Macaca mulatta: one gene and its partners. The protein of the gene in region 1 interacts with the protein of each later gene in a pairwise test. Links are inferred from orthologs where the notes say so. Each region holds a gene or a part of one and is shown in the gene's direction. Other genes may lie near its edges.

Region 1 (2,842 bases):
ATGGGGCCGAACTGAGTGAGCTGAGCCAGCCGAGCGGAGGGCAGGCCCAAGCTGCTGGTAGCATTCTCCCTCCCCTGAGTCACCTCTCTCAGCCCCTTTCCGCACGCACATGACCTGGAGGCTGCGGCAGGGCTGCTGGTCACTGTCAGGTGAGAAGATCTGCCCTGCCCAGCCCCCAGCATGCTGTCTTCACCTGTTACCTGTGGGCGGGGCTTGCCCCATGGGGTGGCAGGCTCAGCCAAATGCTCTCACCCTCTATGCCAGGGTTGAGTAAGGAGCCAAATACCTTGCGGGGCCCCCGTGTCCGCACAGCCTTCACCACGGAGCAGGTCCGCACCTTGGAGGGCGTCTTCCAGCACCACCAGTACCTGAGCCCTCTTGAGCGGAAGAGGCTGGCCAGGGAGATGCAGCTCTCAGAGGTCCAGGTGAGGCGGGCCGGGCTGAGGTGGGCAAGGGTGGGCCGGTGGCCTAGTCTCACCCCTGCTCTGATTTTGGTTTTCCTGCAGATAAAAACCTGGTTTCAGAATCGCCGGATGAAACACAAACGGCAAATGCAAGAAGTCCCGCCGAACAGCCCCTTCCTGGGGTCTCTCCACGTGCCCCCAGCTTTCCACTCACCGTCTTCTGGCCTTGCCAATGGCCTGCAGCTGCTGTGCCCTTGGGCACCCCTGCCTGGGCCCCAGGCTCTGATGCTGCCCCCGGGCTCCTTCTGGGGTCTCTGCCAAGTGGAACAGGAGGCCCTGGCCTCTACGGGGGCTTCCTGCTGCAGGCAACCTCTGGCGCACCACCCCCCAACCACAGGAAGTGGCCTGCCTGCACCGGGACCAGCCCTGTCCACGGGGCCCTGGGGCCTGTGCGCTCTGCCGGAGACAGGGGATGCCTTTTGAGGAGGCACCTCTGACTCTCTCCCACGCTCACGGTCTTGCGGATTGCACCTGGCTCCTACCTGGAGGACTCAGCTGTTGTGTTTACATCGTGGTGGCGCCTCTCACCCTGACCACACAAAGATTCTGGAGATTTCTGGAGAATAGATATATATGTATGTATCTATCTATCTCTATATATATGTATATGTGTATATATATGTATTTTTTTTTAAAGACAGAGTCTCGCTCTGTCGCCCAGGCTGGAGTGCAGTGGCGTGATCTTGGCTCACTGCAACCTCCACCTTCCGGGTTCAAGCGATTCTCCAGCCTCAGCCTCCTGAGTAGCTGGGATTACAGACGCACGCCACCACGCCCAGCTAATTTTTTCTATTTTTAGTAGAAACGGGATTTCACCATGTTATCCAGGCTTGTCTTGAACTCCTGACCTCGTGATCCGCCCGCCTTGGCCTCCCAAAGTGCTGGGATTACAGGCGTGAGCCACCACTCCCGGCCCTGAGAATATATTTATTAAAGCCACCTCTTCACTGAAAGTTACCAAAAGGGTCGGTTTAGGAAGTAAATGAAGGGTCAGTGAACAGAGTCAGATGCAGAAGTGGGCTTGTCATGGGTAGGGCTTTCAGCGTACGATAAAAGGATCGTTTGTTTTTTAAAAAGTGTTGGAAAAACTGGTTTTCCAGTTGGAAACAGTAAAGGTGGTAAGCTTTGTGTGTAAAAAAGAAAACCAGGAAGGATTGGAAGGGAATGCAGGTGTCGTGTTTACAGCCTTGTGGTTCAAGTCCCTCTTAACAAGAACTCCAAAGCTGGAAAGCAGGAGGGAACAGGTGAAAATGAAGGCGGGGATGCTGGGGTCCTGCAGTGTGCTCTGGGCGGTGCGTGAGCCGGGACTGCCCACGGCCTGCTGGGGGCTCTTCTCCAGCCGGGGAAGGTGGGGCAGCTGGGACCTGCGGCTGTGCCTGGACTGAAGCTGTCCCGCAGGTCCCCGCCCTCCAGCACCAGCTCACCTGCCCCCTCCTCACAGCAGCCTCGGGACAAAACAGAATGACTCAAGGACAGCACTTCCTGCAGAAGGTCTGGGAGTGCCCAGAATGGGAGGCTGGGAAGCCCCTCCCAGGGAGAACTCCCCCATCGATGGACCATTCTTGGTGCAGACTCCTGACTGCATGTGTGGAAACTTAGACAAGTGAGCGTCCGTCCACGTCGCCTCAGAGTGCCCGGGGGCAGGCAGTGCGGGGCGCCCAGGCGACAGGTTCAGCCTGCAGGACTGCGACCTGTGAAACCCACCCGGGCACCCCAACGGGAGCAGAAGCGTGGTCCTGCGGCCGCGTCCACAGCGAGTTCCACTTTCCCCTTGCTCGCTTCTGCCTTGTTGGAAGTGTTTACAGCTGGATGTGATTTTATAATACACCAGGTAAGAGGAGAACAGCTGCTGTGCGTCCGTCCTGGTGAGTGACCATGTGAGGGAAGCCTGGGCGAGGCCCTCGGAGGGCAGGGGCTGGACAGGGGCTCCTGGTGGGGCCTGGGCAGCACTGATTTGTGGATGTGGATGGGGGCACATCCGTGATAAAAGTACAAGAGCCCCTCGCCGCCCTTGGGGATTGCTCTCCGGTCCCCTGTGTGGCCCCGGGCCGCAAACCACAGTCTTGGCCCTGAACTCCCCCGGTGAGTAAGGGCCCTGGCCCGGTGTTGTCTTGACGTCCTGTCAGCACACTGGGCCCTACAAGGGGGACAGCCCATTGGGGCAGAGCTGGGCCTGTTCAGAGCCACACCTGGACCTTCTTAGGGCCCTGGCTCCATCCTGCAGATGAGGAGCTCTGGAAAAGGACAAAGTCCCGGAGGCTGAGGAGTGGAGCGGGTTCCAAGTGCCCAGCAGGGGCCTAGACCCTGAGTTCCGGGGGGTCCACAAGGCCCTCAGGCCCAGGGAAGGCTCTGCCACCAGTGATTTCCAAACTTCCCTC
Region 2 (3,656 bases), on another chromosome or scaffold:
AAACACGTCCCACCAATTTTCTAGCCACCCCTAGGGGGCAGTAGTACTCCCACTGAGAACCACTGGGACATATCAAAGTAAATCGGAAAACAAGACTGAGTTGCAGGATTCTTCATCTGTTGGTAGATTTAAGTCACTACATTATCATGCCATGGGTGAGGCAAGCTAAGCAAGCTTCACGTTTGAAGTTTCAGCTCCAGGGCCTCTTCATCCCTCTTGCTTCAGTGCAGTTGGACAAAGTAGTCTTATAAGATATTCTCCATTTTTTTTGTTGACATCCTTGTCTCATTCCGCAGAAGTATTTAACACTGCGAGATTAATCAGCAAGAAGCACAGGTGTCCTATTGGTGCCTTTCTGGAGCCTGCTGTTAGGGAAGCATGGCATGAGAGGAAACGGGCACCTTGCAAGGAAAATCACCAGGCCTTGAATGTTGGCTCTAGCCTGTATCAGTCAGTTGAAGGCAGGTATATCTGTGACTGGAGTATGGAGTGAGACACCCTGCGTTCCATCTCTCTGGGCTCACAAGAGTCAGTGAGATGACTCATAATGTCATCAATGCCATAACGCCCACCCATTGTCCCTTTGGAAGTTGCTAGGATACTCTGCCTCCATTCCTCTTTTTTTCCTGGTCTCATTACACTGCATCGGTATCTTCCTACTGACAGCCATGGAAAGGCTTGTTTTGAGAGGCCCAGGCAAAGCTGGCTTCTCTATTCTCTGCTCTGCCCAGCCTGGGAACTTGTCTCTCAGGCTCAACTGCACATAGAGGTGGCCATTGTGCCCCCTGAGAAGGGTGGGGACCCCTGGAAGCACATGTGAATTTCCTGCAGGCCTGCAGTATCCAAATACAATCAAATAGTAGGCAAGGTCTATTAACTGCAAAGATCGGAAATTGGTCTTGGCCATCTGGGTGAGGCAGTGTGTGGCACAAAGGAAGGAACCCTGGCTTTGGGGGAACAGACAACCTCAGTTTGATCCTGCTCCTACCTCATGCAACCTGTATGACCCTGAGCAAGTTGCTTTTCCTTGAGCACCAATTTCTTCATCCCTAAAATAGAGATAACAATACCTACCCTGCCGGAATTTCGTGAAGACGCAAAACACATACTAGTGTATCTGGCATGTTGTAGGCATTTAATAAGTGGAGCTTGTTGCTGTTACTGCTATGTTACTATTATTATTGTAACACGTGTCACTTGTGCTCCTGTTAAAATGTATATGTCTTACCTAAAAAGAATAATACAGTGAACAATTATCATGGTAATACACATGAGTACAGGCTATGGGGTTTTGCAGTGTGTAACTTATACTGATGTATGAGGTGCCCCTGAGTGGACAATAACCTTCTTTTTTTTTTTTTTTTTTTTTTGAGACAAGTGTCTCACTCTGTTACCCAAGCTGGAGTGCAGTGGTATAATCACAGCTCAGTGCTGCTTCAAACTTTTGGGCTCAAGTGATCCTCCCGCCTCAGCCTCCTGAGTGCTGAGACAATGGGACTCTGAGCATGTGCCACCATTCCTCACTACTTTTTAAAAATTTTTGGTAGAGATGAGGCCTTGCTGTGTTACTAAGTCTGATCTCAAACTCTGAGCCTCAAGCAATCCTCCCACCTGGACCTCCCAAAGTGTTAGGATTACAAGCATAAGCCACCACATCTGGCCCTATTTTTTTAATTCTCCAAAATTGGAATAATAATAATACAGAAATCATGCATAATACCTCTAGCTGCCATTTATTACATGTCTTTTGTATATCAAGCAATGTAATAAGTAACTCTCTAGCCTCTATCTAATCCAAACCATACTAGTAACTAACATTTACTGAATGTTGATCCTGTGTCCGGTACAATACTCCACATTTTAAATATGTACTCTCAATTAATCTTCAAATCAACCTAGCAAGGTAGAAGGTGTTTATACCCATTTTACAAATAAGGTCATAGAGCCTTAGAGAGATTTAAGAACTACTCCCCAAATTACACAGTTAAGAGGTGGCTGTTTGAATTTTAACCTAGGTCTCTAAAACTCCAACATTCAGATTATTACTCACTTTGCACACTGCCTCAGGCCTGCGAAGGACGGTATTATAACCTGGTTTTACAACAAAGAGTCAGACTCTTAAAGAGCTTACGCAATTGAGAGGGTCCTAAGTGCAGCAGGAAGAGGAGGCAAGGAGAAAACCCAGGACGGCCTGCCTTCCGTCCTTCTGCCCTGTCCCTGAGACACACAGCTTCTGAGGCTATGAGACTTTAGAAACTTCTAACAACTACAGAAATGTGATTATTAGCATTCTAGTTTTTGCTTACAGATCATCTCCTCAGAGAGGCTTTCCCTGACCACTTCTCTAGGATATAGGCTCCAAGACAGCAAGGACTTTTGTCTTGTTCATCTTGGCATCCCCAGTCCCTGGCACACAGTCTGGCACTTAGTTGGTGCTTGATACATTTCTGTCAATTACCTGAGTCCATGCATCCTTCTTTCTCAGGACACCTGACTCTTCTTTTTCATTCTCCCAGGTTACGTTGCAATGGGCGCTGTCCTCCCGTCCTTCTGGGGCCAGCAGCCCCTCGTCCAACAGCAGATGGTCATGGGTGCCCAGCCACCAGTCGCTCAGGTGATGCCGGGGGCTCAGCCCATCGCATGGGGCCAGCCGGGTCTCTTCCCTGCCACTCAGCAGCCCTGGCCAACTGTGGCCGGGCAGTTTCCGCCAGCCGCCTTCATGCCCACACAAACTGTTATGCCTTTGCCAGCTGCCATGTTCCAAGGTCCCCTCACCCCCCTTGCCACCGTCCCAGGCACGAGTGACTCCACCAGGTCAAGTCCACAGACCGACAAGCCCAGGCAGAAAATGGGGAAAGAAACATTTAAGGATTTCCAGATGGCCCAGCCTCCACCCGTGCCCTCCCGCAAACCCGACCAGCCCTCCCTCACCTGTACCTCAGAGGCCTTCTCCAGTTACTTCAACAAAGTCGGGGTGGCACAGGATACAGACGACTGTGATGACTTTGACATCTCCCAGTTGAATTTGACCCCTGTGACTTCTACCACACCATCGACCAACTCACGTGAGTGCCCCTCACTTAAGACATAAAACCCAATGAGAGCCATAACTTATGTCTGGAGGTAGGGTTTCAGGGGTCAGATAACTCATCTCGCTTGCATTAATCAGGCTTCTTTGTTTATATTACTATTACTACTATTGCTACTATTACTACTACTATTACTACTAAGAGCTACAAATATAGGTACCACTGATAACATACAAACCTTCTTCATATGTTCCATGTTTATTTTTAGACTTATAATAATGCTTAATGACAAATTTTGTTAGACCTGTTTGATGGATAATGAAAGTGAGGCTCAAGGTTGAAGACAATAGACAAAGTGGTATTGAACTGAACGTAAGCCTAGTATTTTTCCACCGTATTACTCTGCTTCTTAAGATTTTGTTAGTTTACTCATGCATTCGTTCATTTATTTATGTATAGCCAGCTTATGACACATAGATTTTGGTGTGGTTTCTTGAAATAAAAGTGAATGCAAACTTTAAAAATTTGGGGAACAAGTTTTAAACATTAGAATATAAAATAAGGATCAAGAGAAAACTTAGGGCAGAGACACAGCAGCCGTAAGGTCTTAAATAGCTTTTATAGCTG
Region 3 (3,656 bases), on another chromosome or scaffold:
ATACAAATAAGGCTTTCTCTTCTGTGAATTTTCTTCATTCCTTCTCATTCTCCTGGTTGATTTCTTGCTTCTCACTCATTTTTCTTCCTGTACAGTATTGTCAGTATTATTTTCCATTTTAATTCCAAACTCCATCTTCTTAGTTATGTTAGTTATATATGGCTTTCTCTCCTTTTTCTCACTTAGATGATCTTCGTCAACATCTACCTCCTCCCACACCCCGAACTGTGATCCTATTGATTCAGAGCTACTGAAGTCTATAGAGCCCTTAGTCTTTGAGTGTACCAACCCAACCTGCATAATCAGCACCATGGACAGAGGTGCTTGCAAGGATTAATGGGTTTAGAAGACAAAAGAACTGTCCTAAATTTAGCCATAAAATTAAAACTAAACACATCTCTTTTTATAAAACATGAAAGATTAACTTTCCTTTAGAATGTTGTGACTTCACTTGATATTCTATGCTAAAATGTGACAAAAAGAAAAAAAAGACTCGCAAAGATTTTAAGAAGAGAATTCAAAGGTAGTCACAGAATTTTAAAGCCGGGAGGGGGGGCACCATGGAGATTATCTAGTCGATTTCCTTTGTTTTATAGGTGATGGGGTTAAATGACTTATCCAAAGTCACATAGTTCATTCATTTTAGAAGCTGGATACTGGAAAGAGATGGGTAGCTTCTCCATTGAAGGTCATATAACTGTTCCAGACAAAACAGATACTGAATTTAAAAATCTAACATCTTTCTTTGTAAAGTTATGAAGAAAAGAAGTCTCTCTTTTTCATGTAATACAGCCTCTCTAGGTGACGGGGGGAAACCATATTTTCTTATCTCAGGTAATAAGTGAGAGGACTTTTGCCCTATCTCTGGCAAGATGCCCTCCAAACATTTACATATAGAGGGAAGCTATAAATCTGTGTTATTAAGAAGGGAATTACTTATCTGTATTCAAATGTATAGATTAAGGTTGCCAAATTTTTGGAATTAATTAATGCAAATTAAAGTGCCTAACCTATAGTGAATGTTAGATTTAGTCAGTATGAGTATCCCATCATCAAATTTCATTAGCCCACCATAAGACAAAAGTATGAGGCTTTTAAATAAAAATTGTGAGGGTAGGGGGAGAAATGATCTTTTTAAAATGATATACCCATAGAAGCTTCTGAAGAGTAATAAGGTGAGAAAGATGAAATAGTTACATATTAATTTTGTAACTATATAACAATTAGCCACCATCTCTATTACAGGACTGTGATCCTTCTTGTGCTTTCCCTCAGATATGATTATGATGTCACTGACCTACTGCCAGGGGATATTAGCCTTTTGGGTTGCTTTTCCTGGATGAGTAGTGAGTGTGTAACTAGCACAGAGAGCCTCTCCTGTGACCAACCAGTACCTATTTGCAAGATGGCTGTCTGAGGTCAGGGTATGGTCTATGGCCATGAAATGGAGCAAAGCCAATTAGGCCATATGTGGATCAAGCCTGTGACCTTGACCTCATTAGCACTGTGCTCTGCCCAGCTTGACTAACTAGCCCCAGATGGTTAAGCTTAATGCAACATTTTGCATACAAGTAGCCTCGAGCACATTCAGGTCAATCCAAATTTTTGAACTGAGGACTTTTTATGTCCGGCTTGATACAAAAGAGCTTGAGCTTGATGTTTTTCTTCTTTCTTATGGTTAAAGAAGAATGGTGAACTTTATTCTAGACTTATTGAAACTCAATACCTCTTTTGGGCTGCTCTGTCTCCTCCTCTCTTCAATTATGAGAGAAGTTGTAAAGTGCCATATCCTGACCTCACTTGCTTTGGCAAGTTTAACAAGCCATTGTGGTAGAAACAAGGTATTGCCCAGAGGCCACGAGAATTCATTTGGTATTTGCTTCCAATTCCACAGGGTCCTTCTTCTGACACACACGTTGACAGCCTGAGAACTTGCAGAAAATTTTCTACAGTTTTACACATTAAAAAATCTTGGTGGCTCTTTGTTTGGAGACTGGTCACACCTTCCTTTTTTCTTTTTTACTTGAGAGACTATTTTTAGAGTGGTCATTTTCAAATAAACTCAGTTGAAAATATTTTATGGTAACTTGCAATAAACTGAAAAGCTCTTTGGATTATAAGAAGAGTGTAAGTTGCTGTACTAACCTTTAAAAAGATTATAGCTATACCTGATGCAAATGATGAGTTGATGGGTGCTGACGAGTTGATGGGTGTAGCACACCAACATGGCACAAGTATACATATGTAACAAACCTGCACGTTGTGCACATGTACCCTAGAACTTAAAGTATATATAAAAAAGAAAAGATTATAGCTAATAGGAAATGTATGTCTGGCTACACACGTCCACACAAATGCCTATGTATACATGTATATCACAACAAAGATTAACTAAAAATACAAAGCAGGGTTGAACCCTTGGAGAGTATGAATCATCAAATAGGTCAATTTAAGTTAAGAAGAGATACTAGTTCAGTAGTATAAGTCTCCAGTATATTTTGTAGTGATAATTTCCAAAGTGAAAAAAAATTGGCCAACTTTGAGAATTAGAGGACATTAGAATTTGATGTGCTTAGAGTATCTAATAAGAATACATTGTTTAGGCCAGGCACATTGGCTCACACCTGTAATCTCAGCACTTTGGGAGGCTGAGGCGGGCAGATCACGAGGTCAGGAGTTTGAGACCAGCCTGACCAATATGGTGAAACCCCGTCTCTACTAAACATACACATACACACACACAAATTAGCTGAGCATGGTGGCTCATGCCTGTAGTCCCAGCTACTCGGGAAGCTAAGGCAGAAGAATCCCTTGAACCCGGGAGGTGGAGGTTGCAGTGAGCCAAGATTGTGCCACTGCACTCCAGCCTGGGTGACAGAGCGAGACTCCGTATCAAAAAACAGCAACAACAACAACAACAACAAAAACAAAAAACATTGTTTTAGCTTTTACCCCTGCTACTTCTCCCATTCTGATTTCTGAGCTTTCTGTTTTATTCATCTATATAGGAGGATGTTTCCTGCCATGAGAGTGAAAATCACTGGCCTAGATCCACATCAGCAGTACTACATAGCAATGGATATTGTGCCTGTGGACAATAAGAGATACAGGTAACAATAACTGGGATGTGGAAATGTGGGTACACCAGCATTCCAAGACAATTCTTCAAACTCCTTAGAGGAAATATTTTAACAATGCATACTGTACAGGGAACAAGGAATGGAGACTATGTCAATGGCCTGTGGCAGAGCACCAGGTGGAAAAAGTGTTAACTTTGACCTGGGATTCCCTGCTATGTCTCTGGATAGAATGGGACTGTATAGTGTCTCCCAAGGTAGCAAAAATCAAGTGGATCTTAAGTCTAAATTTAATTTAATTAATATTGGAAGTGATTAACATATTGAATAATTTGGTTTGTGAAATGCTAAATAAATTGGGGTGATTTATTTTGGAAAGAGGAAGGAGAGGTGGAACAATAAAGCATATTAAAATGTATATTTGATGGATTACCCCATAGATGATGGAGAGGAAGAACAGGAGAACTGGGTAAAATTTCAGGAAGAATATCTACTTAGGGAGAATTATTATTCATTGATATGGGTTGTGAGTGAGATTGTTAAGTAATTTTCCCTCAAACTGATTAAAAGCCAATGTAA

Evidence for each region. The genes of interacting proteins can lie anywhere in the genome.
Region 2: the proteins of VENTX (region 1) and DAB1 interact in binary tests that used the Homo sapiens proteins (3 or more experiments, as listed by UniProt). The two-hybrid records come from large-scale screens. The link is inferred for Macaca mulatta from reciprocal best matches to the Homo sapiens genes VENTX and DAB1.
Region 3: the proteins of VENTX (region 1) and TBX15 interact in binary tests that used the Homo sapiens proteins (3 or more experiments, as listed by UniProt). The two-hybrid records come from large-scale screens. The link is inferred for Macaca mulatta from reciprocal best matches to the Homo sapiens genes VENTX and TBX15.

Annotation. Positions count from the first base shown.
Region 1 is NC_133414.1:145,338,288-145,341,129, forward strand, and holds the end of VENTX (homeobox protein VENTX), read left to right. Parts: intron 1-264; coding exon 265-425; intron 426-506; coding exon 507-887; 3' UTR 888-2,309; downstream 2,310-2,842. UniProt on the Homo sapiens protein: May be involved in ventralization.
Region 2 is NC_133406.1:183,611,559-183,615,214, forward strand, and holds part of DAB1 (disabled homolog 1), read left to right. Parts: intron 1-2,516; coding exon 2,517-3,065; intron 3,066-3,656. UniProt on the Homo sapiens protein: Signaling adapter of the reelin-mediated signaling pathway, which regulates the migration and differentiation of postmitotic neurons during brain development.
Region 3 is NC_133406.1:121,385,896-121,389,551, forward strand, and holds part of TBX15 (T-box transcription factor TBX15), read left to right. Parts: intron 1-3,008; coding exon 3,009-3,110; intron 3,111-3,656. UniProt on the Homo sapiens protein: Probable transcriptional regulator involved in the development of the skeleton of the limb, vertebral column and head. Acts by controlling the number of mesenchymal precursor cells and chondrocytes.